Pelodiscus sinensis: one gene and its partners. The protein of the gene in region 1 interacts with the protein of each later gene in a biochemical or structural test. Links are inferred from orthologs where the notes say so. Each region holds a gene or a part of one and is shown on either strand. Other genes may lie near its edges. The genes, in order: SIK2, HDAC5 and CRTC2.

Region 1 (9,500 bases):
CACTCCACATTCTGAACCACCTTTTCTTATGTACACATTCTGCTTCAGTCTAATTTGACCTTTATCTGTATTAGATTAATTTAATGACAAGTAAGTTTAAGGCCTGCAGCATTTCATTACAATTCCATTACGTAGGATCCCACACATAGGATGGATTCTGCGTGTAAACCAGGTTTATATACTTCACAGATACTGTATTTTTAAAGTAATCTCTATCAAAAAAATTTCCTACAGGATGACAGTGACATCATAACGTCACTCTGCATCCCACCTCACCCTTCCCTGGGGGCCCTGCCCCAGGAGCCTTACCCAAGTGACCACTCCGAGAAATGGGGGTGAGAGGACGGTGGCTCCGTACCCGCACGCCCCCCAAGGCCCATCCCCAGCCTGCCCAGCCCACTTGCCTGCCAGGTGTCTATGCTCTGTGTGCCCCGGCCCGGGCACAGAGCTTGGGGGCCACGACGCAGGTCTCCCCTAGAGCAAGCCACTCTGGCGTGTGCCAGTAACCTGACACCAGGCCACTGGCTCAGGCACGCTCTCCTGGGTCCACCACAAGCTGGGCAGGTCTTAGCCACACCATAGGTCTTGAGCAGGTCTTGGCCACTTTAAAGCGGCCACTCTGTGCTCTGAGCTCACTAAGGAGCAAAGTGCCCCAAGAAGTGCATTTGGAAAGGCTGGGCTGGGAGTAGGCTGTGGCTCCTGCTGCAGTGGCCGGGGCTGTGCTGCCCAGCACAGTGGTGTTCCTGGGGGTTGGGGCATGCAGCTTGACAAATTCACGGAAGGAGGCAGGGTGTGCGTAGCGAGGGAGCAAGGGGGAATAATGTGTGTGTGAGGATGGGTGGTGCAGTAAGGGGGAATGGTGGGGGTAAGAGGGATATAGGAATGGAGGCAGGGGGATGGGCAGTGGGGGGCGCAGAAGGGGAGGTGTTAGGGAAGGATGGGGGCGCAGGAATGGAGGAAGGAGGTATGGGTAGGGATAGAAAGTGTGGGGTTAGGAAGGATGGGTGAGTGCAGGAATGGAAGCAGGGGGATGGAGGTGTAGGAATGGAGGATGGAAGTGAGGAGTAGGGATGGAAGGAGGGGAGCGGGCTGTGGGGCATGGAGCTCCAGGATAAGGACTAGTGGCCCAGATTACTCCACCAGGCTCTCTTCCTGCCTGGCCCAAATCTGGTTCTCAGTAGGGCACAGGCATGTTAAGCTGGGAGCTCCCCCATGGTTCCATGGTTCTCCATCATGCCCTGTCCAAACTAGGGATATTAAATATTGGTTAACTGAATAGTCGATTAACCTCATGAATTCTTATCAGTTAGTCAACTATTCTATAGTCCCTGGGTGTGGGGGGGAGGAGGGGAGCAACCAGTCGCTTACATCTCTACAAACTTAAGATAGTCTTAAAATATAGGAGGTTAAATGTGAGATGAGCACAGAGCAACTCCAGAAATACACGTACGTGTTATTAGCTACACACTGAGTTTCAATGTTCTCCCTTCTAGAAGAATCACTGGAAGCCTCAGCAGATCAAGAACCCTTCCAATGTCTTGCGTGTACACATGTTGCAGAGCTGGTGGAACTCACTGGCCTGAATTTGAACAATGTACAGCAGTGGTCCCCAACCCAGTGCCTGCGGGCGCCATGGCGCCCGCTTAGTGACCAGGGCAAGCCCAAGCCATTCTTGCGCCCCGGGCACGCAGTGCATGCCTGGCCCGTACCCCGGGCACCCGGCAGCCCCAAAAGGTTGGAGTCCACTGATTTACAGTACTGGTACTTGTTCAGAATGTTAATTTCCTTTTCCATTAGTGAGAGTTAATAAGGTCCCTCTCCCTTGCAATTCAGCTAGCTGCACCTACTAACCAAACCCTATGCTTATAGATGTCTTGTTGTAGAAAGAAGTGATTGTGCAAAATAAATAAATAAAAGAGTGTACAACCTGGTTTAATCTCAAAATTTTGGAAACAGAAAACCTGCTACAAAAATTATGGGTAATATATAGGTTTAATTTGAGCTGGATCATGTGAAATACAACTGTTATTCATAACTTCACTCTGCCATTCACAGTCCTGGAATCACCCCCATCATGGTAGTAGCAATTCACAACGTGAACTATAAAAACAGCTTTCAAATTGAACACAGCATTCAAAGCCCTAACCAAAATGCAAATCTATTTAACCAAATGTAAACTTATTTCTACTGACCTTTAGTAAAGTTTTTAGAACGTACTTTAGTTCAGGCATTTTTTAAGCTAACTTGAGTCAAACTGAGTGTTAAGTTGTTTGGACTTTATATAATTTTAAGTTTTCATAAAACCGAACACAGATCTAATATCTGAATTACAATGAAAAGTTATGATTGACACAGCAGTGTCACTGAGACCAGATGACTGAAGACCAGAAAACAAATAGATTTATCTACTGCCTTATAAGTGAAACATTAACACTGTAACTCAACATGACTTAAAATTCCAACTTCCAAACTTGGGTCATCTTTTGTAGCAAGGAAAGGATTTAAAAAGCATTTGACTTGGTGCCTTTACTTCTTAAACTGCAGTTTAAGCCATAACTTGATTAAATTTCCTTTAATGCTTTGGATTTTCATAGAAGCACAGAAACGCAGGGTGGAAGGGACCTCAAGGTCACTAATATTGTGCACAGTTTTGAAGAGTGACCACTACTATGTGCCTTCAACAATTTTAACAGTCAAATTACCATTGGAGTTAAAAATGTAGTTCTGCCTCCTGTCTATTGATACTTGTATCATTTAAGATCACTGTGAGTGAAAACTTACAGCTTTTAATTGGTTTACTTTGTGCTTTTGACATACCGTAGTTTTGTTCAGTTTCCTTGTCTATGTGGATCATTCACATCACATCAAAGGAAAAGGTTTATTAAAAATAGGAAATATAACAATTAAATCCATGTAGAGGAACTGAACGTATTCATTTTTTTACAATGATTAATCAATGAGATCCACACATGCTGCTTCCATCAGATATTTAATATTTTAAAAATATATCTAACTACCTTTTTACCAAAGCAGACTAGTAGTATAATTATACATAATGCATAAAATAATTATGGTTTTCTGAAACTGGTATTGAATGGATAACTTGCATTTCTGAAAAGATGACTGTTTTTAATTTAGTACCCAGACAGGCTGATTCAGGGGAATGGGATATGAAGGAATCATTCTTCAAACTGAAGTACTGAAGCTGGCCCTAACACCTGAAGATACTACCCGGAATGCAAACGGGACAGCAGAATAAGGAACAATTTAGCCTTTTGGATTCAAAGCTGCAGTGCTTGATTTGTGCTGGGGCTTGCCAGGTTAGACACATCGTAGCCCCAGCACCCTTGCACTTGGCACCTCAGGTATGACAGTAAAATAATCGCCTGCTCCCTTGCACCTAATGGTTTGCGCCCCAGCCCCTCTGCAGTTACAAATGAGGCGCTGCAAAGCTGTTCGGCGTTGGGCCGTGACAAAGAGATCAGCCACCTGCTGACCGCTCCTCCTGAGCTGACCATCCCGAGACCCGCGCGGGGAGGAGTTGTTCTCCACCGCTTCGCTCCGCCACCAGCGCAAGCTGGCCCCAGGAGGGGGGGGGGGATCCTCAGCCACCGTGTCTTGCTAGCGCCGGTACCGGCAGCCGCAGAGGGGCAGGCAAGTGCAGGCTCCAAGGCAAACCCAGCGCCCCGTCGCCGGCTCGCGCCTGTCCGGCTGCGGCCGCCCCAGGGGGCCGGAGGAAGCTCGCTCTGCTGTCACGGTGACTGGGAGGGAGGCGAGCTCCAAGGGCGAGTCCCCCCCCCCCCCCAGCCGGACCCCGCGGGCGAGAGGCGGGGGGGCGGCTCCATCCCCGGCCCCGCGGCGGGACAAAGGGAGCCGCGGGCCGGCGGCGCGGATGGCTTGGGAGGGCAGGGCGCACCTGGTGCCACCTCCGTCCTCTCGGCTCCGGCCCCCGTGGCGGGGGGAGGGGAAGGGTCTGGCCCGGCCCCGCCTCCTCACGAGCCGGTGCCCGAGGGCGGCCCGGTCCCCCCCCGGCCCGGCCGCCTCACCTCGCTGCGCGTGATCCGGTGCCGCCCCAGCTTCACCACGGCGAAGTTGCCCTTCCCCAGCGTGCCCTCGATGTCGTAGAACCCGACGCGGACGGGCCCGGGCCCGCGGGGCAGCAGCGCGGGGGGCCGCCGGGGCTCGGCCATTACCATGCTGGGCTCGGGGGGCGGCGGCGGCTCGGTCCGTCTGCGGCCGTGCGGCGCCCTCCAGCCGCGCCGCCCCGCCCCCTCCCCCCCTGCTCCGCGCGTCACCGCGCGCGTCAGCGGAGGAGGGGTCTCGCCATGGCAACCGGAGCCACCGCCGCCGGAGGAGCAACGGCCCCCTGGGGCTGTTCCCTGCGTGGCGCCCCCTCCCCCGGCAGCGGGGCTCTCCTCAGAGCTGTCCCCAGGAGCGCGCCTCCCCTCCCCCCCCTCCGCGCCGGCTTGTGCCTGGGCGAGGCCATTCGGGGGGGGGGGGGAGACTAGGCTACCTACACGCTCCCCCCCCCCCAGCCCTAGTTAGCCCTGGCTGCCTCTGCTCCCACAGCTGCTCTACCCAGTGGGACTGAGGCCTGTGGGGGAGGGGTGCACAGAGGCTCCCCAGGGGTGCAGCGAGGGGGCACCCCATTCAGCAGTTATCGGGAAGGGGTCAAGGGGGGGCAATGCACCGTCCCAATGCTACCATATGCATTGCTGGCAGGACCCCCTCATTGCACCCCCCCGCCCTTCCCTCCACCTCTGTGCCTGTCACTTCCCTGGGCCTGCGCCCCCTTCCTTGGGGGCATGGAGCGAGCTGGGCCCCCAGACCTGCCCTGCTGCTGGGCCAGTCCCACCCTGCACCAGACCAAGGAGCTTCGGGGGATTAGGACACAATCAGATGCACACACATTGCCCAGCGCTCACCCCCCCTCAGGCGCCCCCGGCAGGGGCCACTTCGCCCCAGGCAGATGGCTTGAGGGCTGACAGAAGCCCGGCTCCCCGTGGGTAAAAGAGGCAAGGGAAGGTGATGCCTATACAGACTGGGGCCAGGAAGCAGGGGCCATGTGCCACTAGGGGCCTGTCCCTATGGGACGTGGGGTTGGCTCCCATGGCGGGCCTTGGGCAGCAGGGATGGGGCTGGGGAATTGCCTCTCCCAGTACTAGGTTCACCCACTACCCAGGCTCCAGACAGAGGCCAGGATGTCCAGTATTGTATTAGGCTAGCCTGGATGGGCACCACGCACTAGGTACTGTACAAACCTGTAACAGACATCATCCCTGCCCCACATAGTCTCATGAGTCCAATGTGCTATGTTACTCTCCCCTCTGCATCAGCAGTGGCTCATGTACTGATGTATTTACTGTGTGTACCTGTACTGAGGAAAGGTTTGCCAAAAATCATTAATTAGCAGAAAAAGGAAGCTACACTGTTTACTTCTCCACCCAAAGCCTCCAAGTTGGGCCTGTGCTTGCTCAGTCAGCAGGATGGGGATCCTCCACATTGACTAAATTCACACCTTAACAAAGGACAATGGGGAAACTGGTGTTCACCTTCAAAGCTACTATTTTCTGAAGCAAAATAACCTACTTCCCAATGACAGCAGCATTTCAACTGGGCGAGGATCACATCTGTAAGGAAATACCCCCAGTACATACACACCCCTCCTTGTCAGTAAGAGCACGAAGCTCTTGCGTTGGGCAGTGTTTCCAATGGGCCAGCTACGGCCCAACGGCGACATTGAAGGCTGTATTGGAGGCTTTGATTGCTGATGAAAAGTTCTGAAATACAACTTCAAAATAACATCCAGGGAAAAAATTGCAGCTGAGAGAACAGCCTTTCTGCAGATGGTTTTGCTACCCCGATTCACATCTTGTTCTGCTTCAAACAAAGTGATCCACCAAGTACTTTGCACACACTTTTACTTTTTTACAGTGACCTGTGTGATCTCAAAACAAAATATTGAGGAATTATATTCAAAGTCAACTTCACTAACGATCCAAGAGTATCAAATGTGAAGCTCATGTGCCCTCTAGTGGACAACTGCCCTATGTATATTAATAGATCACTGTAGGTGTTATAAATTTAAGGTGTCAAAGGAGATCTTCTGATTAATTTCTCTCCTCTGCACATATTACAAATTAGGATAAATCCAGCATATGAAGAGATCGCAGCAATGACACCGACAGTTGTCTGTGCTAAAAGATAAAATGAGTTGCGCTAAAAGATAAAATGAGTTGCTAGAGAAGTCTGGCCAAAGAAGGCTCAATAGTCCACTAATCCCCCACACTCATTCAAAACTAATTAACAGCTTCAAGCAAGAAGAAACCAAAGGCACCTACTTTCAAAGATAAAGTCAGAAGACAGGCACTTCTCCCAAGATTTTCAGAGCCAGTTGAATCCATACCTGAGGCAGGGAATCAGACTGAATCCCATACAAGGTGAAAGCGCCTTTGCAGTGGTCTTACCAGGGTAATCTTAGAACTGTTCTATCCACATATTTCAGGTCTTTGCACTGGTGCTGCAGTGAAATTTTCACCTTCATTAGTGAACTCCACTGCTAAAAATCAGACTGTGGATGTTTCAAGGACTGATGAGCAGTCTGGAATATGCTTCCCTAATTAAGAGATCATCATATTAGAGCATTCACTTACTAGGTGAAATGGGAAAGCTCTGGTAAGTACAATAGTGCAGTATAGAGTCACAGCAGTTCCCTAGAGAGAAAAAGTTAGTTCATTGCCACCAATATTTGTTGTTGACCTCTGCCAGTAGAGACAATGCAGACCCATTTGGTCCATCCTCACTGCCTGAAGAAACCAAGTTAATTGTGGTGTCAAATCTGCCACAAGTTGCGATAGCTTATGGTACATTGAGTCTTCATAGTGAAATAACAGCAAACTAAAATATTGTTAATATTTAAAGTGGTGGATTAGACATGGACCTGCAGTTCCTTTGTTCTAATCCTAGTTCAGCCAATGAGTTGCGTATTCTTGGGCAAGTTATATAACTCCCGTCCATCATCCCAAAAGGCACAGTGCCCAAGCAGTGAGGTTTTATTGATGGTTAATTGCTATACAGATCCAAACATGGAGAATGTGGGATACAAAGCATCAGAACTATATTTCTAAGTTGTTAGGCAGTAATATTCATAGGTATATACTTCAAGGAGAAAGTTGTGTGGGGGACTTTATTCTTAGCAAGGAGGCCACCTATGTGCCCTCCAAATTATAACCGAGTACTTGGAATCCTGTCTCTAACTCAAGACAAAGAGGAACAGAACTGACCAGCGGGGTAGAGAGATGCCCACATGTCTTGTTTTGATAGTTGAGATGACATACCTTTTCCTTAACTGAATCACACTTTTACCCAACTGACAATTGTGACACCAAAGAACAAAATAGATGAATTTTTTGCAACGAAACAGGGTTACAAAAAAGGCGAATGCAATTTTGGGCTGTTTACAGGAAGAGACCCTGTCACAAGACTGGGAATTAGTCATCCTCCACCAGGCCCTGATCCCACCATGTCTGAACCTTGGCATCACATCTTGTAGGCATCACATCATCTGTGAGCACTGTGTTCAAAAAAAAGAGAACAAAATATCTATACCTTGGCTAAGGGGAAGGACATAACCCTACCGTTAAAGAATGGAAACATCAATGGGAAGGCATTTTTTTAGTGTAGCAGTGCTGTATGTGTAGGAGTGATTGGATGAAAAAAGATTTTTTCTCCCTAATATGCAGCTTAATCAGAGCAATGTATTAGGCTACGGAACCCTCTCATCCCAAAAGCAATGGAAGTGCAATTGCTTGATGCTTAAAACAAGGCTGAACATAAGAACGGCTGTACTGGGTCAGACCAAAGGTCCATCTAGCCCAGTAGCCTGTCTGCCGACAGTGGCCAGCACCAGGTGCCCTAGAGAGGGTGGACCGAAGACAATGATCAGCGATTTGTCTCTTGCCATCCTTCTCCAGCCTCTGATAAACAGAGGCCAGGAACACCACTTCTATCCCCTGGCTAAGAGCCTTTTATGGACCTAACCTCCATGAAATTATCTAGCTTCTCTTTAAACTCTGTTATAGTCCTAGCCTTCACAGCCTCCTCTGGCAAGGAGTTCCACAGGTTGACTACACGCTGTTTGAAGAAGAATTTTCTTTTATTAGTTCTAAACCTGCCACCCATTAATTTCATTTGGTGTCCTCTGTTCTATGAAACAATCTTGTATTGGTTCCTGGGAGAGGGAAAGGATGATTTACCATCTAGCTTCTTGTTCTTAACTTGGATATTCTGTGTCTGTGAAATGGTTTGGAGCAGATTTATATTACTTTCATTAATTATAAGTGTGAAGGTGAGAGTGTTTCACTAGTTTCATCTTTGGTTTCGCTGGTGCCTGCCCTTTTCCAAATAACTTGGGTTGATTGCCCAAAGGTGAACTCAAACATATCTGACTGCAAGAAAGCACGTTTTCCATTAAGCTTTTGCCTCTGTCCCACAAGCAGCAGCTATGAGAGGAGTGCAGGAATCACATCTGTTAAACATCAAAGAAACTTTTTTTATCTCTGACACAAGCACCTGTCCTCTTTCCAGTCTGAAAGCAGCCTTAAACTTGAAGGAAAAGGGAACACTTTGGCACTGAAACATTTAACTTGTTCCTGCACCAATGGCTTGAAAGGTCTCCACAAATGGCATGCTAGATAGGCGGTGACAAGTTCAAGGAGACTTGTTCTTATCAGTTACTGTCACCACCATATTTAACATTTTGATTTCAGAATGAGGAAAGAACACAGCTGATGTGTTATTCGCTCCCCTTCCAGATAAAAAAAAATGAATGTAGGGAGCTTTAATATTTAGGCAAAATGTTTCAAAATTAGTTTACTGAAATTAACTACTTAAAACCATATTTCAACACCTAAATATCTGGCCTGAACTTCAGAGGTGCTGAATGCACTTAGAGACTTTCACTGACTTCAATGAGAGCTGCAAGTTGTTAGTTCTTTTAACAATAAGGACATTCATTTAGTTACCAAAATAGGGATGTAAGAGCATACACACCCAAGTTTTACTACGTTGCCTGAGCTTTGTACTCTCTTTACCTGTTTTTCAAGGACTCAAAGTTGCTTATGTTCTGGCTAAAAACAGAATATTTCAAGATCTGAAGAATAAAAAAATGAATACACATACAGCTGCTTACTATAATGCACTAATTCATTTAATGAATCCCAGGAAGTTAGCTATCACCAGTCAGTGGCTACCCCCTTCCTAGTGCCAATCATCAGCAATTGCCTAGCATTATCCACACTGGTAGTCAACTGGCAGGTTATCATTTTCTCACTAGGAAGTGGCCATATTTTGGCAAGGATTGAACTTGGACCCCTGAAGTCAATGACAGGCCACCAAATCCTGACCGGCAGGCACTCTCTCAGATTGCCAGCTATCCAAGACAGGCCCTATGTCTCTATCAACTTGACCTGTAATACTTATGAACAGACAGAAACAGCTAT
Region 2 (10,270 bases), on another chromosome or scaffold:
AGTGTCCCAACAGTGAAATGGAGAGAATTCTTCCTTTGCCTTGTATATCAGACAGTTAGCTCCTGTCTCTTCTGATGCGTGTGTGCACAATGCAGCTTGGATCTCAGCAGGGACTTCTAGATGCTACAAATAAACTGTAATCTTGTCTCTCTTACCCCACTAAGTCAGAAAGGCAACCCAAGAGAGAGAAGTGTAAGACTCACTAGATCCTTGGGTGGATCTTTTTAATAAGTCCTCTCTGCACTGTGATAGCCCATGGCAGCTATTCTAGGACCATGTCACTGCTCCAGGCTGCTTAAGCAACATTTCCCCTTCACACACTAGCTGCTATTTCCTCCCCCCACCCCAGAATCAGCTGCATTTAGGGCCTCAGTACACAGAGCGCGCCGGCAGATCCTTTTTGAGTGAGCAGCGCTAGAGCTACATGATTAATCAGGAAAGGTGCAGCCTGAAATCAAACGCCCTCTGATCGGCTCAGAAATCTGCTGGGACAAGATTTGAATCCCAAGCTATGGACAGGGCCTGCCTGCAGCCAGGAGACTAACTTTCAACAGTGGCAATACTACAAGGACAACAAAGGCAGCTTAGAATCTGAAAGCCACTGAAGGGACCTCACTGACCAAGTCCCATTAGCCGCCACGATCAGTATTTAAAATTAGCCACAATATTTAAGATCTGAGCCTGCAGCTTTCTGTCAAATTTCGAGACAATCCAAGGAAGGTTTGAATTTGGGCCAAAGTTAGTAAGCATCTCGGGACAGGGGCTGCCTCTTCGTTCAATGTTTTATATAAGGCCTAGCACAGGGATGGGCAAATATTGGCCTGCAGGCCAAATGCGGTCCAGCAGAGTTAGCTCCTGGAGGACCCCGCTGCTATATTTACCTTCACGGCCACAGGTACTGGCAGTCGCAGCTCCCGTTGGCTATGGATCACCGTTCCCAGCCAACGGGAGCTGCGGGGAGCAGTGTCCTGGTCCATGACTGTTCAGGTAAATATAGCGGCAGCGGCCCACCAGGGCCAACCTTGGCAAACAGCCGCCATGTTATTGCCCACCCCTGGCCTAGCAGGACGGGTCCTGGTCCTTGACTAGAGCCTCCAAGGTGCTATATAGCAAGTTGGCTCAGAACAAATAATGATGTCTCCTTTCTAGAGGTAGTCAGGACCCAAGGCAGCTTTAAGTGGAGGCCCTTGCGGGACACACCTGTCTCCATCAAAGGGGTAATGGTGAGGTACCAAGAGGTGGCCTGTAAAAATCAAACAAAATGGAAGTGAAACCCCTTGAAGATAATAATGTAAAGCAGCTGCCTCAGACTTGATTTACCTCCGCAACGGACACCTTAGGGCTGGCTCTGCCACCAGGCTCAGCAACAACCGAGAGTAATGGAGGATGCTAGGGTCTGGTAATTAGGGCTCAGTCTGAAATCAAGCGGCCCCTTTCCATCAACATCAATGGGCTCTGGACCATGCTCATCATTATGAGCACACAGCCCTGCCAGCACCTGGGATTTCCCTGCCTGCCTTGCAACCAGCCACTGTTTTCTGAAAGGAGATGCGTGAACGCAGGAGCCTCTCCGCCTTCATTTACCTTGATAGTTCTCTGCTCCTTGTGGTGGCCAAGAGAAGCTTGAAAAAATGAAGCCCCAAAAGGCAGAAAAACTGGAAGTCAAATAATAAGAACCCAACGTTTAAAAAAAAAGAAAAGTTTGGGAGATTTATTATGCCCATCTGGTGATTTCTGAGCTTTTGGGACTAACAAGCATTTCATTCGGCAGACCCAGAAGGGATTCCTGTGACCCTCTGGGCCAAGACCCCATATCACACAGGCCACAGGACTTCCTTTCATTAATTTCTGTCTAAATTAGAGAAACAAAGCAAGAGTCATGTCCATCTGCATTCTAACCCATTGACTACCTTCTCCTCCCAAGGCAAGGGCTAGAACCCAGGAGTCCTGCCTACCAATCCCCCCCAGCTCAAACCACTCGACCAAAGTCCCTTCTCAATGCTGTGTATGGAACTGTATGTTCATCTTGGCATTAACCCCTTCCTGCCCATGCCCCCATTCAGACTATAAGGTCCTTTGAGCAGGCCTATCTTTTATGGTGAGAGGGTCCAGCTGTCAGCACAATGAGGCTCTGATCCCAACTGAGATCTCTATAACCCTTCTCCTCCTCCAAGGCAGGAGTGACTGAATCTGGAGGCTCACACCTTATCCAAGGTACAGAGCTAGCAAGAAGGGAGCTCAGAGAAGAGAAGCAAAATAACGAAGGGTGCGGCCTCACAGCTGAAAGAGTTAAACAACAGGCAGACAGAAATAGTAATACTCCGCAGACATCCGAAAGGGTGTAAGCACACAGGGAGGGAGGGATTTGTCACTACGCAAGGAGGACAGGAATGCAGGGGGGAAAAAACGAGGATGAATACTAGGAAATATTTCCCGGCAGCCAGCTATGTGAGGGAAGGAGAGGGGAGCCCTGTCATCTATTCCCACATGCCCTGGATGGCACTTGACCAGTCTCTCAACTCTAACCTCTATGATCCCATGGGGGTCACCAGACTGCCTACTGCACCATGCGTACCTGCTCACAGGCCAGGTTCAGCTCTCAGCCACACCTGCATCAATGCACAGCAATGCTGCCAAAGTCAATGGTGTTAGTCCTGATTTACACCAGCGTGGCTGAGAGCAAAGTCTGGCTCCCCACTGGCAGCACAGAGATATGCTGGTCCTGGCATGCTGATCTGAAAGGAACACAGACAACCCATTAGCAAACCTATTTTCCCAGAGGAATGCCTTTCCTATCATGGCCCCATTTTGCAATTTCACCTGCAAGAATAACAAGGCACAGATGGAGAAGGAAAGAAGGGAGAGCAGGTCCGGGAGTAAATCCTACCCCTCCCATCATCCCGCACCGGAGAAACAATCTGGCTCCAAAAGCAAAAGGGAAAAGAGCCCCAAGACCAGCACTTGCTACTGCACCTTATCCCCTAGCAGAGTAGGTCTGGCACCGAGCAAACAAAAATCATCACCCATCAGGGAGCTGGGAGCGCTGCAGTATTTCAGATGGTCCTCCTCCAAAAGATGCAAGTAGGAAGGATCAATTATTTAAGGGCAACTGCCGCTTCTCAGGACCCTTTTCATTCCCCCCGCATGCGCACTCCCTCTGCCTAGGTATTTATAGCACACGGCTAGCGTGCAAGACAAGGCATCAGCAAACCTTTGTCTCCCAGGCAATAACAGACACACATTTTCCTTCTCCCACCACTCCCAGGCCAGCTAGAGATGGGAAAAGAAGCACCAAGCCCTCTAGCAAGAAGGTCAAGAGACAAGATTTTGATTCAAAACAAGGGGCAGGAGGAGGGCATTCATGCATCTGAACAAGCTTTGCATCCTCTTGATCTCCCATGCAGGCATCACGGGGTGCACAAAGTTTAAGCTCCTACAAGGCAGGTTTCCAGACAAAGGGATCTAAGGATGGAGGCAGGCCTCCCTCCCCACTCCCGCCCACTAGCCTGAAGAAGCTGCAACTGCCAGGCACAAGAGGATGCAGAGGAGGTGGAAAAGCATGCATTCCCTTGTGGAGTTCCAGAATGACCCCCTCTTTAAAGGCCCAGAGGAAAAACCAGCCTGTGTTGGTCCTCCCTTACCCCCAGCACCTCTGCCCATCGACAGCCACATGCCACTCTTTGCTTCCAAGAAGTGGCTTTTCCTCAGCCCAGGCTAGTGAGGTGTGATGGGCACACACCCCGTCTCACAGCCCCAGGCGCATCCTCCCAGCCCGACCTACCCCAGACATACACACAGCCCAAACTGGAGCTCAGCCAGTCCTGAGCACCATCTGCACTGGAGGCAGGATCCCCCCACCCCACCATGCGGACAGCGCTGCCGTTTCATAACCAGCGCTCTGTGTCACAGGCACAGCCTCTGCTCCCCTGCCTTGGCCCCCACCCACAACCCGTTCCCCGCAAGAGGAGGAGAGTCTCGGGCAGGTGCATTAGCAAACACCCCCAAGGGTGCCAATGCAGCAGCCAGCCCCAGTAACCCACCCATGTCTCAGCGCTCCCTGCCGGCCAATATCCTGCCCCAGAGCCCGCAGCCGGGCAAGTGACCTGGACCAGGCTGGCTGCCCCGTTCTCTCTGTGGCAGGTGCAATCCCGTTCGAAAGGGGGCTTCGCCCTGCACCCCTGCCCGGGGCCCGGGCCGAGCCGGCTGCCCTTCCCCGGCGCTGGCATGGGGCAGGCGCTGGAGCCGCTCGCCCTGTGTCCCCTGGGGGCGGCCCCCCCCTTACCTGCTACCCAGGCCGGTGGGCGGCTGCAGCGGGGCCCCGCCTGGCTGGGTGCCCTGGCCAGCCCCTCCGCGCCAGGGATCCGGCTGCCCGCGGCTTCACCGCCAGCGCCTCCGCTCCTCCATCTTTGCAGCTGGCTCTGCGCGCAGCCCGCTCCGCGCCCCACCACCAACAACAACATTCGGTGACGTCACTCCCCGTCACGTGACGGAACCCTGGGCTAAAAATAGCCTGCCTGCTCCGCTCCTTCCCCCTCCTTTGCCTGGTCCCCCGAGGGCGGGGCCTCCAAGAAGGAAGGCGCGTCACCCACGCGGCCTTAAAGGGCCAGCGGAAGATGGGGGGGGGGTGCAAGCCCAGCTGGGCCCGGCTAGCGGGACGCCCTTAGGGCCAGCGGAAGATGAGGGTGCAAGCCCAGCTGGGCCCGGCTAGTGGGGCGCCCGTGGGGCCACTGGAAGATTGGGGGGGTGCAAGCCCAGCTGGGCCCGGCTAGCGGGACGCCCTTAGGGCCAGCGGAAGATGGGGGTGCAAGCCCAGCTGGGCCCGGCTAGTGGGGCGCCCTTAGGGCCAGCGGAAGATGAGGGTGCAAGCCCAGCTGGGCCCGGCTAGTGGGGCGCCCGTGGGGCCACTGGAAGATGGGGGGGGTGCAAGCCCAGCTGGGCCCGGCTAGCGGGACGCCCTTAGGGCCAGCGGAAGATGGGGGTGCAAGCCCAGCTGGGCCCGGCTAGCGGGACGCCCTTAGGGCCAGCGGAAGATGGGGGTGCAAGCCCAGCTGGGCCCGGCTAGCGGGACGCCCTTAGGGCCAGCGGAAGATGGGGGTGCAAGCCCAGCTGGGCCCGGCTAGCGGGACGCCCTTAGGGCCAGCGGAAGATGGGGGTGCAAGCCCAGCTGGGCCCGGCTAGCGGGACGCTCTTAGGGCCAGCGGAAGATGGGGGTGCAAGCCCAGCTGGGCCCGGCTAGCGGGACGCCCTTAGGGCCAGCGGAAGATGAGGGTGCAAGCCCAGCTGGGCCCGGCTAGCGGGACGCCCTTAGGGCCAGCGGAAGATGAGGGTGCAAGCCCAGCTGGGCCCGGCTAGCGGGACGCCCTTAGGGCCAGCGGAAGATAGGGGTGCAAGCCCAGCTGGGCCCTGCTAGCGCGGCGCCCGTGGGGCCAGTGGAAGATTGGGGGGGTGCAAGCCCAGCTGGGCCCGGCTAGCGGGACGCCCTTAGGGCCAGCGGAAGATGGGGGTGCAAGCCCAGCTGGGCCCTGCTAGTAGGGCGCCCCTTGGGGACACATTGAAGTTTCACAGCCTAATGCTCCACAGTTAGCAACATGTCTCACAAAGTTCCCCCAGGGCAACCTTTGTGCTGCCTGATCCCCAAACATGCACGCAGCATTCACCACTCAGGCCTGGATGCATTCTTTTATCCCTATTGCTTTTCTGCCTCAGCCCATATGCAATCCCCCCCCAAACCTCACACGGGCACAACACGGTCCGTGTGTGTTTCTATGCACCTCTCGCAGCAGTTAGCCGAGCATGCCACAGATGCTCATGAATGTAGACCCAGTCAGAGGGCCCATAATCCCCATTTTACAGATGGGAAACTGAGGCACAGAGAGACAACAACCAGGCTGCGTCTAGACTGGCATTATTTTGCGCAAATACTTTTAACAGAGTATGTGCAAATTTCATTTTTGTAGAGGCCAAAGCCTGGCACATTTTCACAGAGCTGGTGAAAGGCACAGCCCTGACTCCAGCCTGATCCTCCTGCCAAATTTCACTACAGCTTCTTGAATAGCTGTAAGAGGTCTTTTAACATGAACAAACCCATTTGTTTTCCCCTCATCTTATTCTGGGAAATGTCTGAACTGTTTTAGGTGAAACTTTACAAAAATATTCAGCTTGAGGTCAATAACCTGGCATAGAAAACATTGGTACAGCCCTGCACATATACAAATGTCTACTCACGGATGTGGATATCCATGGATAGACATCGGGATCCACAGATCAGCAGGGTTCTACCCCCAAGAGACACTTTGGCCAATGAAGAGGAGCGTGGTCCCATCACACCAGAGAGACAGTGCCCCATGTCAGCATCTCTGTGATGGGATGCAGTCACAGAAGACTCCTTGGGAGGGTTTCCCAGCGTGCTGACAAGACCACTGCCACTTGCCTTCCTGCCATCTAGCTTCTTACCACTCTGTCCTGCTGGGCCAGCTCCTGGTCTCCCCCAGCCAAGGACCAGAGCTGAGATCACTGCTCCTTCTTCCCCCGAGAAGCAGTACTAACACTAAAACTCTTCTGCTGCATCTAGACTGGCAAGTTTTTTCGCAAAAGCAATGGCTTTTGCACAAACACTTGCCAGCTGTCTACACTGGCCGCTTGATTTTGCGCAAAAGCACTGACGTTCTACTGTCCAAAATCAGTGCTTCTTGCGCAAATGCTTCAGGCAAAAGCCCTTTTCCGGAAATGTTTTTGTGCAAGAGGGCCAGTGTAGACAGCTAAAAACTGTTTTGTGCAAAAAAGCCCCGATGGCGAAAATGGCGATTGGGGCTTTCTTGCGCAAAACCGCATCTAGATTGGCACAGACGCTTTTCCGCAAAAAGTGCTTTTGTGGAAAAGCGTCCATGCCAATCTAGACGCTCTTTTCCGCAAATGCTTTTAACGGAAAAACTTTTCCATTAAAGGCATTTGCGGAAAATCATGCCAGTCTAGACATAGCCTTGAGGTCCAAGGAAATGGAGTTTGGGGCCCAGCTTCCCAGGATACCACTCCCCAAATGGGATCAGAACTCCAAAGGAATTATTTAGGTGAATCCCCTTTAACAATGAAAGGGGGAATGTACACACTGGCTACCCCCAGGCAACAATTATTTAAACTAGGCTTGATAGTAAATAAAAGTGATTTTATTAAGTACAAGCAGTAGGATTTAAGAGGCAATAATTGAGAAAGGGCAGAGCAAAGTAGATTACAAACTTAAAATAACAGAAAACTCTTAGCTAATTCTAACACTAAAACCCCGGTACAAACTCATTACAAACTCACTCTAAAACTGTTCCTTTCCTAGTAAGCCTTCAAACCAGGGCAGCTCCTCACCCTGGGGTCTTTGGGTCCTTGCCTTGGGTGTGGAATGCCAGCCAGCCAAAAACAAAGACCCGCTAGTTTCCTATTGTTTTAAAGATTCCCATTTTTGCATGAGAAGTTACCTGACCAGTCCCTACAGCTATGTCTAGACTGCAGAGTTTATCCTGGAAAAACTCTGCCGCGTCCAGGGAATGTGTTCACATTTTCGGAACAGTTTCTGAAAACGTGGGCATGTTCTGTCAGCATCTCTGTATTCCTCATTTTATGAGGAATAAGGAATGTTCCGAAAGAGGAAGTTTTTCCGACTTTTGGTCCTGTGTAGATGGGCCAAATGTCGGAAAAGCCTCTTCCAAAAAACAAGCGGAAAAAGATACGCAAATTTCAGTTCGCAATTTGCGTATCTTTTTCCAAAAAAACCCAGCAGTGTAGACACAGGCTACTAGTTAGGGAGGTCATGTGACTTCCTAAGACAAACCCCTGCTAAGACTTAAGGACAAAAGGCAACTTACATATGACTGCCCAGACACTGAAGCATCCCAGCATTGGAAACACTCTTGATGGCTTTCCTTTGCACATTTAAAACCATAAAGAATCCCATACTCCATGCATCTAGTTTTACACACAAGAATGATACATACACCAGAATAAGATAAAGAGATCCAGTGGATTATGACATGAAGATTGATAGGTTTGTCATGATCATGAGGGTTAGCCAGCAGCCTGGGAACTAAGGGGTTAACCTTACCTAAGTCAGGTGCATTCAGCCAATAGGAATGCAGGTAGGAATTTCAAACTGGGACAAAGGAATTTTTGGTTTTTCTCTCTTTTTGTTCTGGGAGTTTCTCTACAGCTATTGAAGGGAACAGGATGTCTCCCACTAAGAAAATACTCTTCACGTCTGTAAGTAGGATAAAGTTTAGATAAATCTGTTAGGTTTTATTGTTTTATGGTTTGGGAAATGGGATCTGATGTCTGTGCATTTAAAAATGGGTTTGCTCTCCTTTGTAACTAAGTTCCTGGCCCGTGGTAGATTTCTCCTCCATTAGTATATTATTTTGCTACTTTTCCATCTAGTCATTATGCTTGCAACAGGAATATTGTGGTGATAATAAAAGTTTTTTCTCTTTTATTTTTATTAACCTGGTATGGATTAATTTTTGTGTCCTAGTTTGTACTTTAGGGATGAGATTTCCCAAGTGATCTCTCCCCTGATTTTTGTATCAATACTTGGGTGGTGGCAGCGGAATTTTTATCCCCAAAATCTAGGTTAAGATTTTGGGGGGAAGTTTTATACCAAAGCCTGGTAGATAAGGTTTTGGGGTACTTTTGCTGGCCCCCACTTCTGCATTTATCGTGCCAGAGTGGGGAAGGAGCCATGACAAGGTTACATGAGTTAATTTGTCCGAAGCATCTTTGAGTCATGTATATTGGTGTTCATAAAGCCATTTCATAAAGCACGGGGAAGGGTCCATCACAATCTCCTCCTGGTTGGGTGACTGTACCGTTCCTCCTGGTCACCAGCAGGGCTGTACATCCCCAGACGGGAGACACCGCAGCTGGGGGCAGAACAACTGTGCTGCCAGCATGGTGCATTGGCTCCTGTGCACACCAGGACCTCGCTTCTCTCCATTGGCTGCAGTGTCTCTTTGGAGTAGCTCCCTGCTGATCTGCAGATCCCGAGGTCTATCTACGGATATCTACATCCATGGGTAGACATTAGTATCTGTGCAGGGCTCTAAATCTCGGTCCCACCCGTTAAAATTTGGCACAAGTTATAAGCAACCAGGAACGGGGTTTTAAAATGGAAAATGGTAGGCAACCTTAACTACAGGGCAGCACTTTCAGTCCCCTGGAGGAGGGAGGGAAGGGCCTGACATGTTTGCACATGCGTGTCCGTGTCCTCCACCTCCAGGCCCTGCGGAGGCTCCTATATGATGCAGGTAGTCCAGCATGGAGCATGCTGGCACCTGCTTTCCTTCACCACTTCCGAAGGTTCCGATATGACCAGCAGCTCCTTTATATGAGAGGTCTTTTGCGAAACCTCTCTGAGCTGCCGGCCTTCTACCAGGACCTCCTCTGGACCTGGAAGCTGCTTGCGGTGACCAGGTCCTTGGGAGCCAGCGTGGGAGCAGACCTCTTCACGGAGCCCCTGCTACCCAATCCCCATCTTCGTGTGCAGGCGGCGGAGTCCCTCTCAGTGTCCCAGAAGTTGGTCCTGGCGGAGGTCACCAGAATCAGAGACCTCCTGGACTGCGCCCGGAGAGAATGGGTGGATCCTCCCGCGCTCACCCAGCACATGGGACTCTCCACCCTATGTATTCCCTGGCATGTACTTCAGGAGGTGAAGGACACTTTGCCGCCCACTGCTCAGGTTTACTCCTAGTCCCTCACTCCTAGCCCTCCTGATCTCTCCATCAGTCCCTCGCCTTGTGTACCTTCTGACCATCTCCCTCTCATCACCCAAACTCGCTGCACACATTGCAGCCGGTCCCCTTTCAAACCATGCCAAAAAGTCAACTGTACACACTCTCCACTTCCCCAACCTCTTGTCTCGCCCAGATACCAAGTGGCAGGACCTCCTACCACCAACAGAGGGTGGGGAGCCTTGTCAACGTCCTCCTGGCTATGGCCAAGATGGCAATTTATAAAATGAAGGCGCGGAAGTTGGCTGAGGGAGGGACCTATTTCCATTCCTGCACCCGTTCACACATCCAGGCAGAGTTCCGCTGGGCGGTGTCCACTTTGGAGGGCAGTGGGTGCTGTCCAGGGTTCTCTGCTCAGTGTCATAGAATCATAGCACAGAAAGTGAGTGTATGCTCTCACTGAGGGTATGTCTACACTACACAGATTTTTTGGAAAAACTTAAATTACATTCACACTGCAATTACGTTCTTTCAAAAAAAATTGAAAGAACTGAGGAGTTTTTCCA
Region 3 (10,474 bases), on another chromosome or scaffold:
AGGACCCCCCCCTTGCAGGCATCAGTGAAAATCCATCTCCACCAGCACCAGGGTTCCGGGTTCTGCTGCAGAACCAGCCACCAGCCCCCCCAGGGGTCCAACAGCCGTCGCTCAGCCAGAAGAGCCGCCAGGGAAGAGGCTCCCCGGGCCAGTTTGCTGGGGAGCCCCCGAGTGTGGGCAGCGCAGAGCAGCTCAGACACCCCTGCGGCTACAAAGCCCCCTTGTAAATTCCTCAGCTTAAAACCGGCAACATCCAGAGCCCGGGAAAGGGGAGACGTAGGCACCAGCTGTCTCTGCCGCGCTCCAGGATTAGGGCTCGGAGCCTCCCTGGGGTTTCAGCTCCACTGCCCCAGCGGGAGAGGCAGACCCCACCCAGCAGACAGCCCCCTTCGGAATCCCAGGGAGGCTGCCCCCCGGCTCAGAGCGGGAGGGCAGAATTCCTCCCTGCCCCCCGCAGCCGGTCCACCCCCCCACCCCCACCGGCGTCTGAGTGCCAGTCCCTGGCTCGGGGCAGGGCCAGCGTCTGGCCTGGCTAGAGACTGCTCCTTCCGCCAACAGCTCCGGCACAGCGAGTGCCCCCCCCCACGTGCGCGCAGACGGAGGCCCCTGGCGGCCAGCTGCAGACCCCGAGCAGGGCTCCAGCACCCGCTAGCTTGGAATAAAGCAGCCGCAAAGCCGAAGGGCCACGCAGGGCGCCCGGCCTCAGACAGCGGCTGCCTGGGGAATGGCCCACACTAGCCAACACGTGGGACAACTCCTGACAGGAGCCAGCTTCCAGCCAGGGCCTGGCCGGCAGCCCCAGCACTGAGGCCATGGAGACAGAACTGCCCTCAGACCCGCGGGGGGAGGGGAGCTGCCACTCCACAGCGTGCCCGGCTCCGAGCCCCCCAGGAACACCCTGCCCGAGCACAGCCCGGAGCCAGTCTGGCAGGGCTGCGAAGAGGCTCCCGACAAGCCGAGCCCGAGACGGGCCCCCAGCACATGCTCCACGCCAGCCCCTCTAGCTCCCGTGGCCCAGCTCTCAAGCAGACGCAGGACGGGGGCGCTCAACGCGGCACCAGAGCCACTGGCACCCCGGGGCTCTCGCACGGCTCCTGGCCAGCCGGCTGCAGGGATCACCGGGCAGCCCCGCAGGGCCCGCGCCGCGAAGAGGGTGGCTCGGCCGGCAGCCCCCAGCTCTGCTGTACATTAACCAGCTGTTTGCTGTGCAAACACCGCCCAGGAGCCCTGGGCCAGGACGAGAGGGCCGGCTCCCAGCCCAGACAGCTCACCCGTTAATTCTCACCTGCACGCCCGTCAGAGAGCCCTGGCTCAGCACACCGAGGGACACGCTCGGGAACGGCTTTCTGTCCGGCCTCGGAGCAGTGACCCGGGGACAGAGGGCACCCCAGGCAACGCCTGTCTATCACCAGCTGGCGTGTGCTGAGGCCCTGCTGCCACGGGGGGCTGCAAGCCCCTAGCCCAGACCCCCCCAGTCCCCAGAGACTCCTCTTCCAGGGCCGATCTCCTCACTCAAGCCCAGGAGCCTGTTCAATCTCGCAACCGCACTGCCGGCCTCTGTCCCTTCTCTACCATACGACCAGTCCGCAGGGCCTGCCACCCGGATCCCTCAGCCCTTGGATCTCAAACCCTCCCCCACGCACCTGCCCCCCCTCGATCCGCCATCGGCAGCTCTTCTGGGAAGGGAATCTCACGTCCAAGGAGCGGACGGATTCTCCCAGTCTGGGCAAGGTTCACACAACCCCCACCGATTCCAGGGGCTGCGTGGAGAACAACCCGTCCCCTTCGCTGCGGGCACATGCGGACTCCTACGCAGGGAGGGGGCGGGGGAAACACAGCACAGCCCCCGCCGGCTCCCAGAACCACTCACCGAGGGCTCCCCGCCTGGCCCTCTCCTTAGCCCCCTGGGACCCTTCCTGAAAGCTTTGGACGAAGCACCGATGGGGGGGGGCCCTCCCGGATCCCAGGGCGCCACGGGCCAGGCGAGCAGCTCCCTGTTGCCGCGGTCTCAGTCTTTGCCCTAACGCCTGGGGCCACCGCTGCCACCGCTCTCCCAGGGCCCGCTGGGGGGGCAGGTTTGCTGGATTCGGCCTCCCGTGTTCGTGGCCGAGAGCCGGGGAGGTCAGCGAAGGAGAAGGCCTCTCCCCCGTGGGCGGCCCCGGGACAGCGCAGTCCAGGCGCTTCCCACGATCCACGTTCCCAGCTGAGCGGGCCAGTGGCGGCCACAGGCCACGACCCCAGCCCCCTGCCGGGCCCACGCAGCAACCAGCCCCCCCCCCAGCCTCGCCAGGGACCCACACGCCCCCCCCGGCCCCTGAGAGTCCAGCCAGGCTCCCCTCGGGACACACCCCCGCCCCACCCCCCGAGAGTCCCGCCAGGCCCCCCAGCACCACCCCCAGGGACACACCCCCGCCCCGCCCTCCGCCTGCTGCAGAGAGAGAGCGCCCCCCACCCCGAGCCAGCGCCGCCCGCCACAGCTGGCTCCCCCCTCCCCACCCCCCATGATATAGCCTGGCCCCCCCGTGACCTCCCCCCATACCCCATGGTACAGCCTGGCCCCCGCCACCAGCCCCCAACCCCCCGCCAGCCCCCATGGTACAGCCCGGCCCCCTCCCCATCAGCCTCCATGGTACAGCCCGGCCCCGCCACCAGCCCCCGACCCCCCGCCAGCCCCCATGGTACAGCCCGGCCCCCTCCCCATCAGCCTCCATGGTACAGCCCGGCCCCGCCACCAGCCCCCGACCCCCCGCCAGCCCCCATGGTACAGCCCGGCCCCCTCCCCACCAGCCCCCATGGTACAGCCCGGCCCCCTCCCCACGGTACAGCCCGGCCCCCTCTCCACCAGCCCCCATGGTACAGCCCGGCCCCCTCCCCGCCAGCCCCCATGGTACAGCCCGGCCCCCTCCCCGCCAGCCCCCATGGTACAGCCCGGCCCCCTCCCCGCGGTACAGCCCGGCCCCCTCCCCACCAGCCCCCATGGTACAGCCCGGCCCCCTCCCCGCCAGCCCCCATGGTACAGCCCGGCCCCCTCCCCGCCAGCCCCCATGGTACAGCCCGGCCCCCTCCCCGCGGTACAGCCCGGCCCCCTCCCCACCAGCCCCCATGGTACAGCCCGGCCCCCTCCCCGCCAGCCCCCATGGTACAGCCCGCCCCCGCCACCAGTCCCCGACCCCCCGCCAGCCCCCATGGTACAGCCCGGCCCCCTCCCCGCCAGCCCCCATGGTACAGCCCGGCCCCCTCCCCACGGTACAGCCCGGCCCCCTCCCCACCAGCCCCCATGGTACAGCCCGGCCCCCTCCCCGCCAGCCCCCATGGTACAGCCCGGCCCCCTCCCCGCCAGCCCCCATGGTACAGCCCGGCCCCCTCCCCACGGTACAGCCCGGCCCCCTCCCCACGGTACAGCCCGGCCCCCTCCCCACCAGCCCCCATGGTACAGCCCGGCCCCCTCCCCGCCGGCCCCCATGGTACAGCCCGGCCCCGCCACCAGCCCCCGACCCCCCGCCAGCCCCCATGGTACAGCCCGGCCCCCGCCCGTGGCCCCGCCCGGCGCTCACCCGCGTGGAGCCGATCTCCATCATCACCTCCTCGAAGGCCGCCGTCTCCTCCGCCTGCCGCTGCTTCTGCAGCGCGATCTTCTCGCTGAACTTGCGCGGGTTGGAGGCGCCGGCGGCGGCCGAGGAGCCCGGCCCGGGCCCGGCCCCGGAGCCCGACGCCGCCATCTTCCCTGCCCAGGCAGCGCCTGCCGCCGCCTCGCAGGCCACAGGCCTCCGCCGAACAACACGGCGGCGCGGGGCAGGGCGGGACGCGTAGTTTATTTACCACCTCGCCCGCCGCGCGCCCCTAGCGGGCGGCCGGCGGAAGCGCACTACAGCTCCCAGAGTGCCGAGCGCGCCGCCGCCGGGGCTGCTGGGAGGCGTAGTCTTGCGCGGGGCGGAAGCACGCGCTCCTTCGCGGCTGGCGAGGGGCTCGAAGACTGCAGCTCCCGTCGTGCACCGCGCTCCCTCGCCCTCAGGCCCCACGGGTCCGTCCCGAACCTGCACGGCCGGGCCCGCTACGGCCACTCAGGAGCGGGGCGGGAGGCGGGCGCCGGAGGCTCCTGCTTTGGTTGTTACACAACGGCTGGAGCTCGCAGCGGGGCCCCGGGCTGCCCTTTGCACCACTGCTGAGTGCAGGGAAAGGGAATACTGCACGGGGCACTAGTGAACCTGGCCCCGGGCTGCCCTTTGCACCACTGCTGAGTGCAGGGAAAGGGAATACTGCACGGGGCACTAGTGAACCTGGCCCCGGGCTGCCCTTTGCACCACTGCTGAGTGCAGGCAAAGGGAATACTGCACGGGGCACTAGTGAACCTGGCCCCGGGCTGCCCTTTGCACCACTGCTGAGTGCACGGAAAGGGAAAACTGCACGGGGCACTAGTGAACCTGGCCCCAGGCTGCCCTTTGCACCACTGCTGAGTGCAGGGAAAGGGAATACTGCACGGGGCACTAGTGAACCTGGCCCCGGGCTGCCCTTTGCACCACTGCTGAGTGCAGGCAAAGGGAATACTGCTGCGCACGAGGGGATGTGTTCAGAGGACTCCGCCGTGACTCCAGGATCTCTCTTTTGGGTGGTTATAGCTCAACTAGTCCCTCTGATTCTGTATGTGAAGTTGGGATCGTGTTTGCCAATGGGCATTACTTTGCATTTGTCAACATTCAAATTCATTGGCCGTGTTGTTGCCCAGTCACCTAGTTTGAAGCTCTTCAGTCTGCTTTGGATTTAACACTCATGAGCGGCTTAGTATCATCTGCACCATTCCCTCGTACAAAGAAAAACAACGCTGCACGGGGCACTAGTGAATGTGGCCCCTGACTGTCCTTTGCACAGAGAAAGGGAACACCGCCCGGGGCTCCTGGCACCAATGCCCAGGCCAGGATAAACCTGTGCAAGAGACAGAGCTTTCGCCGCCGTGGAATGAATTCTCAGACTCCTGCAGCTGCCATTCCCAGTGCAAAGTGCATGTGCTTCCTCTCGTGCAAACACATCACACGGCAGACATTCCCCTTCCCCCCCGCATTATTTTGTTTTAAATTGCAAAAGGAATTTCCAGGCCCCCCCAGGCCAGTGCAAACTTCCGCCCGGCCGGAAAAGGAAAAGAGGCGGCGAGAACCACATGAAGGCGTCCAGTCAAGTGACTTACAGAGCCGTCAGGCACGGAGAACAGCGTCGGTCGGACAGACCGGCCAAGGCAGGGCAGGCACATCGATTCCCCAGCTTGGACATTCCCCCCCCCCCCCGCCCCCGGGTCACACAGCGCGGCCTTGGCCCTAACCCCAGCAAAGCGCCCGACAGACGCTGGGCAAAGCTCACAGACCCTGCGAGGCGGCAAATAGCGGAACCCCCCATCCCAAGCTGCAGTGACCTGCCCCAGGTTGGGCTGGGGGCCCTGGGCGCATTAGACCCCCAGCACTTATGCCGGAGAGCATCTGACAAGCGCCCGGAGCCTCTCCAACCCGCCTGTGACCTGATTAACCTCAAGCCAAGCTCTGATTTCCCGGGAAGGATCCCGAAGCGGCAGGGGCCCCGGCAACCTAGGCGGGCAAGCCAGGTTAGCAGCGAAGCCCGATGGGCGAGAGCATCCAGCAGGCCGGGAGCGGGGCTCGTTCCGCCCCAAAAGCCAGCCGTGCAGCTAGCTCCATGCGGAGCGGACCGGTTGCCTGCCGCACGGGGGTCTGTGTAGGCCTGCTCGGGCACCGAGCCATGCCCTTCCCCCTTTGGAACGCCTCCCCTGCCGACTGGCTGGGCACCAGTGCAGGGATGTCCAGCACAGGGGCAGGCCCAAAGCATTCCTACGGCCCCCGGGGCAGCCAGGGGATCCCTTCCCCAGCCCCAGGGAGCCCCACAGGTCGGAGGCGAACCTGCTCTCACTGCAGCTGCGGGGGCAGGGAACACTGGCACTAGCCCAGCCACACACATGCCAGAGGCTGGCTCTGTCCTGCTTCACGGACCACAGCAAGGATCCCTGTGCAGCCAACAGGCCGGGTGAGCCCCAAGGGGACCGGCCAAAGCCAACGAGTCACAGTGGCCCGGTGTTGCCCGTGCGCCCCAGCACTGGAGCGGCTCGTGCAGGGCTGGCTGGGCACTGGGGAGCCGGGCCAGGCCGTGGGAAGGGGCAGGATTCTGTGTCTAGCCCAGAGGGCTCTGCTCTCACACGGACCCGCTCAGCACGGCCTGGGCACCCACAGGCTGACGCTGGGGCTGCGGTGCAGGATTAGCAGGGACTAGTGCCGCAGCCGGCGGCTCCCACCAGCGAGCGTGCAAGGCCCCGCAGGGACTGGAGGGGGCGCTCGGCCAGCGGGCTGAGCAAGCAGTGCACACCAAGCCGGCACGTAGATCCGCACGCTGCAGGGCGCGTCGGGCGCTCGGAGTGCACCAGAGCCTGCCCGGAGCTGGCCCACGCAGCTGGCCAGAGCCTGCCGCACGTTCCCTGAGGGGCACCAGGCTGTACGTGAGCCCAGGCCTGGGTCTGGCTGTGTGTGGTCCTATATGGAGCTAGATCTATCTCAGAGCTGGAAGGGAGAGGTCATCGAGTCCATCCCCTGCCCCACAGCAGGACCAAGCTCCATCCCTGACGGATTTGCCCCAGGTTCCTAACTGGCCCCTGCAAGGATTGAACTCACAACGCCGGGTTTAGCAGGCCAAGGCTCAATCCACTGAGCTACCCCTCCCCCCCAAGCCCGCTCTCTGTAGTCGGGCACGTATCCCGCAAAGAAAGGGCTTTTCAAAAGCCAGGACATGTCGCTGCTCGGGGGAGGGCGAGGGAAACGCGGCACCCAAGAAGCTAGATTCACGTCAGTTTATTTTTCGCCTCTACGGGTTTCTCAGTCAGCATGGGAACCCCGCAGCCGCGTCCCGACGGGGAAGGGGAGTTAGTAAAATAGACTCTGCGTTAAAAGGGCTGGGCCTGCCAGGCAGCCGAATAGCCCGGAAAGGGCAGTGTATAAAAATAGCAGGACGGGCTCCCCGAGCAGGAGTTAAGGCCACTGGACCCTGTCGCCCGACCACTGGCCAGCACTGCCCAGGAACGGCGGATCTGCCTGCGCCAGCTAGAACCCGTGAGACGAGTTCTCTGGGGCAGGCCCGGCTTCCCAGGGCGACTCCAGGGTTACACGGCGTCGGGCAGGAAGGCAGCCACACTGGGCGGCTCTAAGGCACGTTTCTATCCCCCCGCACAGCCCTGGTCACACGGACGCCAGCCCCACGTCACCACGCTCTGGGACCAGACCGGCGCCTCTAAAACAAACCACCATCTACAGCTGGTGTTCCTTAAAAACAATAATTCATCACTCTAGCTCCTCTTACGGCTGTCACCCTGTCCGAAGGGGAGCCCGGTGCCCTGGTTACACATGGGGAAACTGAGGCACGGGGCATGCCACAACTTGTCCAAGATCGCCCAGCGGCACGGCCAGGAAGAGACCCCAGGGCTTCCACTCCAGCACTCTAGCCACTAGGCCCTGCTGCCCTCCAGTTGGGGGAAACCCTGCAGGGAGGGGAAGGGTGTGTCGGCACAGCCAGGCTCCTCTGGCATAGGGCAAAGGCCCAGGCCCACCCCAGGAACAGCCTGAGCAAAGCAGGGCCATGGAAGACTGCAGGCGCTGTCAGCCCCCTTCTACCCTGCACCCCCCAGGCTGGGCGCTCTGGCTGGAGGAACACGCCGACCCTGCCTTCCCAGGGATGGGGAGGGCCATGCTACCAAGTGGGCAACTGCCCCCTGCAGAGGAGCTGTGCCCCACAGAGGGCAGCAGAGCCACCCCAAAGCCCGGCAGACCCCAGCTGAGCCAAGCACGTGCCCTAGGGGTTAGCCGAATCGGTGCCCAGCTCCACAGCAGTGGCGCCCTGCCCTGCCTCCGACCTCCCCGGCCTGGCGCCCTTGGCTTAGCAGGGTCGCGGATGCTGCCCTGAGCCCCAGAGGGACCGATCAGCATTTCCTCCTGCGCTGCCCACAGCACCAGGGCTCCTGCCACCTGGCCAGGGCTGGGGAATCGCTTCTCTGCGGGGATGTGTGGGGGAGGAGACCCAAGCGCCCAGCCCAGGTCAGACAGCAGCTGGAGACGCCGGGAGAGGGACCGCCGGCTCCGGCCCCCCCGCGCCGGGAGAGGGACCGCCGGCTCCGGCCCCCCCGCGCCGGGAGAGGGACCGCCGGCTCCGGCCCCCCCGCGCCGGGAGAGGGACCGCCGGCTCCGGCCCCCCCGCGCCGGGAGAGGGACCGCCGGCTCCGGCCAGGCCCCCGGCAGCGCTCGCACCTCCTCCAGGCGGCTCAGATCTTGATGAAGAGGATGCTGGTGACCAGGGCGAAGCCGGCCAGGAGCACGATGACCTTGGGGATCCTCTGCTGGGAGGAGCTGAGCTCGTGCGGCAGGATCTCCAGGAAGGTGATGTAGAGGAAGGTGCCGGTGGCCAGCCCCTCCAGCACGCTGCGCGAGAGCTGGTGCAGGGCGCCCGAGGTCTCCGTCAGGGCCACGCCCACGCCGATCCCCAGCGGGGACATGAGAGCGAAGAGCAGCAGGCAGCCGGCCACGGCCCGGGGGCGCAGGCGGCTCTGCAGCAGCTGGAGCGAGAGGCTGAAGGCGATGACGCACTTGTGGAGGAGCAAGGCCAAGCAGATCTCCAGCACCTGGGCGCTGGTCTCCTGCAGCCCCACGGCCAGCCCCTCGAAGACGGAGTGCAGCGAGAGCGAGGCCACCAGCAGGAAGGAGCGGAGGGCCGAGTGCGCGTGGGGGCGCGGGGGCTCCTCGGGCCAGTGCAGCGCCTGGACCGTCCCGGCCTGGACCGAGGCCCCCAGCAGCGCCCGCGTCTCCTCGAGCGAGCCGGACTGGTCCTTGTGGGCCAGCACGATCTGCTCCAGCACCAGCACCAGGAAGAAGCCCATGGCCAAGATGAACTCCTGCAGGGGGAACTGGAGCTGCAGAGGGAAGGGGCAGGGTCAGCTGGGCACCCGGTCCCCTCGCCCCCCCTCTCGCTGCTCGGGGCCTGGGGCGGGGGGGCGAGTAGGGGCCCCATTTCCAGCTGGGCTGGTGGCGCAGCCAACTGGCCCCACCCGTGAGCTGTCGCTTCCCCCTGACCGGTGCCAGGACACCACAGTGAGGGGCACGTCTGGAGCCTCTGGCTTTCGCCTTGGCCCGCTCCTGGGGCCAGAGGGGCCCCGCCCAGCCCAGCCCGCAGCTTCCCCACCCTCCCTCGGACGCCACGTCCCCGGCAGCCCCGAGAGCCGGGCTCCCGGACCACCCACCCCGCGGGCAGATGGGGGGCCGGGAGGGAAGCCTTCCCTTTGGGCAGGAGCCCTTGGAACCAGCCCGTGCAAAGCGCTGGAGGCAGCCCAAGGAGCAGAGGCTCTGGGGCAGCGGGGGGCCCCTACAGGCAGTGACGGCGGGACCCCCCCGTGCTGGGAGAGGCAGAGCAGGGCGGAGCCAGAGGCATCACTGCCGAGAAGCTGGGACAGCTGGCTGCCAGGAAGCTGCGTGGGAAGGGGGGGAGGGGCGTGTCGCTCCAGTGAGTCACCCACAAGCCCCTCCCGTCCCATCGGCCAGGCCCCGCCCAGGCCCCGCCCCGGCCCCGCCCAGGCCCCAATCCCCCAGAGCAGCAAGTCCCAGGCTAGATCCCGGCAGAGAGCACGTGGCCCCCCCGCTCCCAAAGCCATGGGCAGCCCTGCCCCGTACCCCTTGTGCCCCCGCCCACCCTGTAAACTCCCCTCACGCCCCCCCACGCCCCTGCCAGAGCTCCCCCTTCACCAACCGGGAGCTTTGCATCTGAGCACACGGAGGGGCCCCCTGCCCTGCCAGCTCGCCCGGCCTCCCCCCATCCCTCAGCCTCACAGGCAGCCCTGAGAGCACCGCCCCTACCCCAGGGGTGAGTCCCCCAGGGCCTGGCAGGGCAGCGCCTGGCCCCACGGGAACACCGGCGCGGCCCGGCCCGCTCCTCACAGCCACTCACCGTGACGCGCAGGTCAGCCAGGGCCATGCTGATGCTTGCCAGGTAGTCGGGGAGCAGGTCCAGGAGGCAGGTTGCCAGGAACACGCCCCCCGCAAAGCAGCTCAGCAGACTGAAGGCCCTTCTGCGCCTGTCTGCCAGGGAGAACGGACGAACCGTCAGAGCAAGGGCCCGTCTCGCCCAGGGCCAAGTGCCCCAGAGGGAGTGACCCGAACAGGGAACCATGCCTCCCCTATTGGCCATTCCCAGCTTCTGACAGAGGCCAGGGACACCAGCCATCGATGGACTGAACCTCCCTGGATGTATCCAGCTCTTTTCTGAACCTTGTTAAAGTCTTGGCCTTTGCAACATCCTCTGGCGAGGAGTTCCACAGGTTGGTTGTGCAATGAAATGCTTCCTTTGGTTTCTTTTAAACCTGCTACCTATTTGTTTCATTAGATGACCCCTAGTTCTTACAAGCAAATAACTTTTCCTTACTCGCTTTCTCCACACCTGTCATGATTGTATA

What was found.
Region 2: of the proteins of SIK2 (region 1) and HDAC5, one has a biochemical effect on the other in vitro, tested with the Homo sapiens proteins (2 studies listed by BioGRID). The link is inferred for Pelodiscus sinensis from reciprocal best matches to the Homo sapiens genes SIK2 and HDAC5.
Region 3: of the proteins of SIK2 (region 1) and CRTC2, one has a biochemical effect on the other in vitro, tested with the Homo sapiens proteins (2 studies listed by BioGRID). The link is inferred for Pelodiscus sinensis from reciprocal best matches to the Homo sapiens genes SIK2 and CRTC2.

What each region holds. Positions count from the first base shown.
Region 1 is NC_134736.1:6,544,129-6,553,628, reverse strand, and holds the start of SIK2 (serine/threonine-protein kinase SIK2), read right to left. Parts: upstream 4,340-9,500; 5' UTR 4,197-4,339; coding exon 4,047-4,196; intron 3,811-4,046; exon of another isoform or gene 3,490-3,810; intron 1-3,489. UniProt on the Homo sapiens protein: Serine/threonine-protein kinase that plays a role in many biological processes such as fatty acid oxidation, autophagy, immune response or glucose metabolism.
Region 2 is NW_027466028.1:522,164-532,433, forward strand, and holds the start of HDAC5 (histone deacetylase 5), read right to left. Parts: upstream 4,489-10,270; 5' UTR 4,461-4,488; coding exon 4,283-4,460; intron 2,736-4,282; exon of another isoform or gene 2,576-2,735; intron 1-2,575. UniProt on the Homo sapiens protein: Responsible for the deacetylation of lysine residues on the N-terminal part of the core histones (H2A, H2B, H3 and H4).
Region 3 is NC_134734.1:23,285,212-23,295,685, reverse strand, and holds the start of CRTC2 (CREB-regulated transcription coactivator 2), read right to left. Parts: upstream 3,777-10,474; 5' UTR 3,720-3,776; coding exon 3,555-3,719; intron 1-3,554. Other genes in the region: SLC39A1 (zinc transporter ZIP1), read right to left, coding at 8,297-8,941, 9,970-10,100. UniProt on the Homo sapiens protein: Transcriptional coactivator for CREB1 which activates transcription through both consensus and variant cAMP response element (CRE) sites.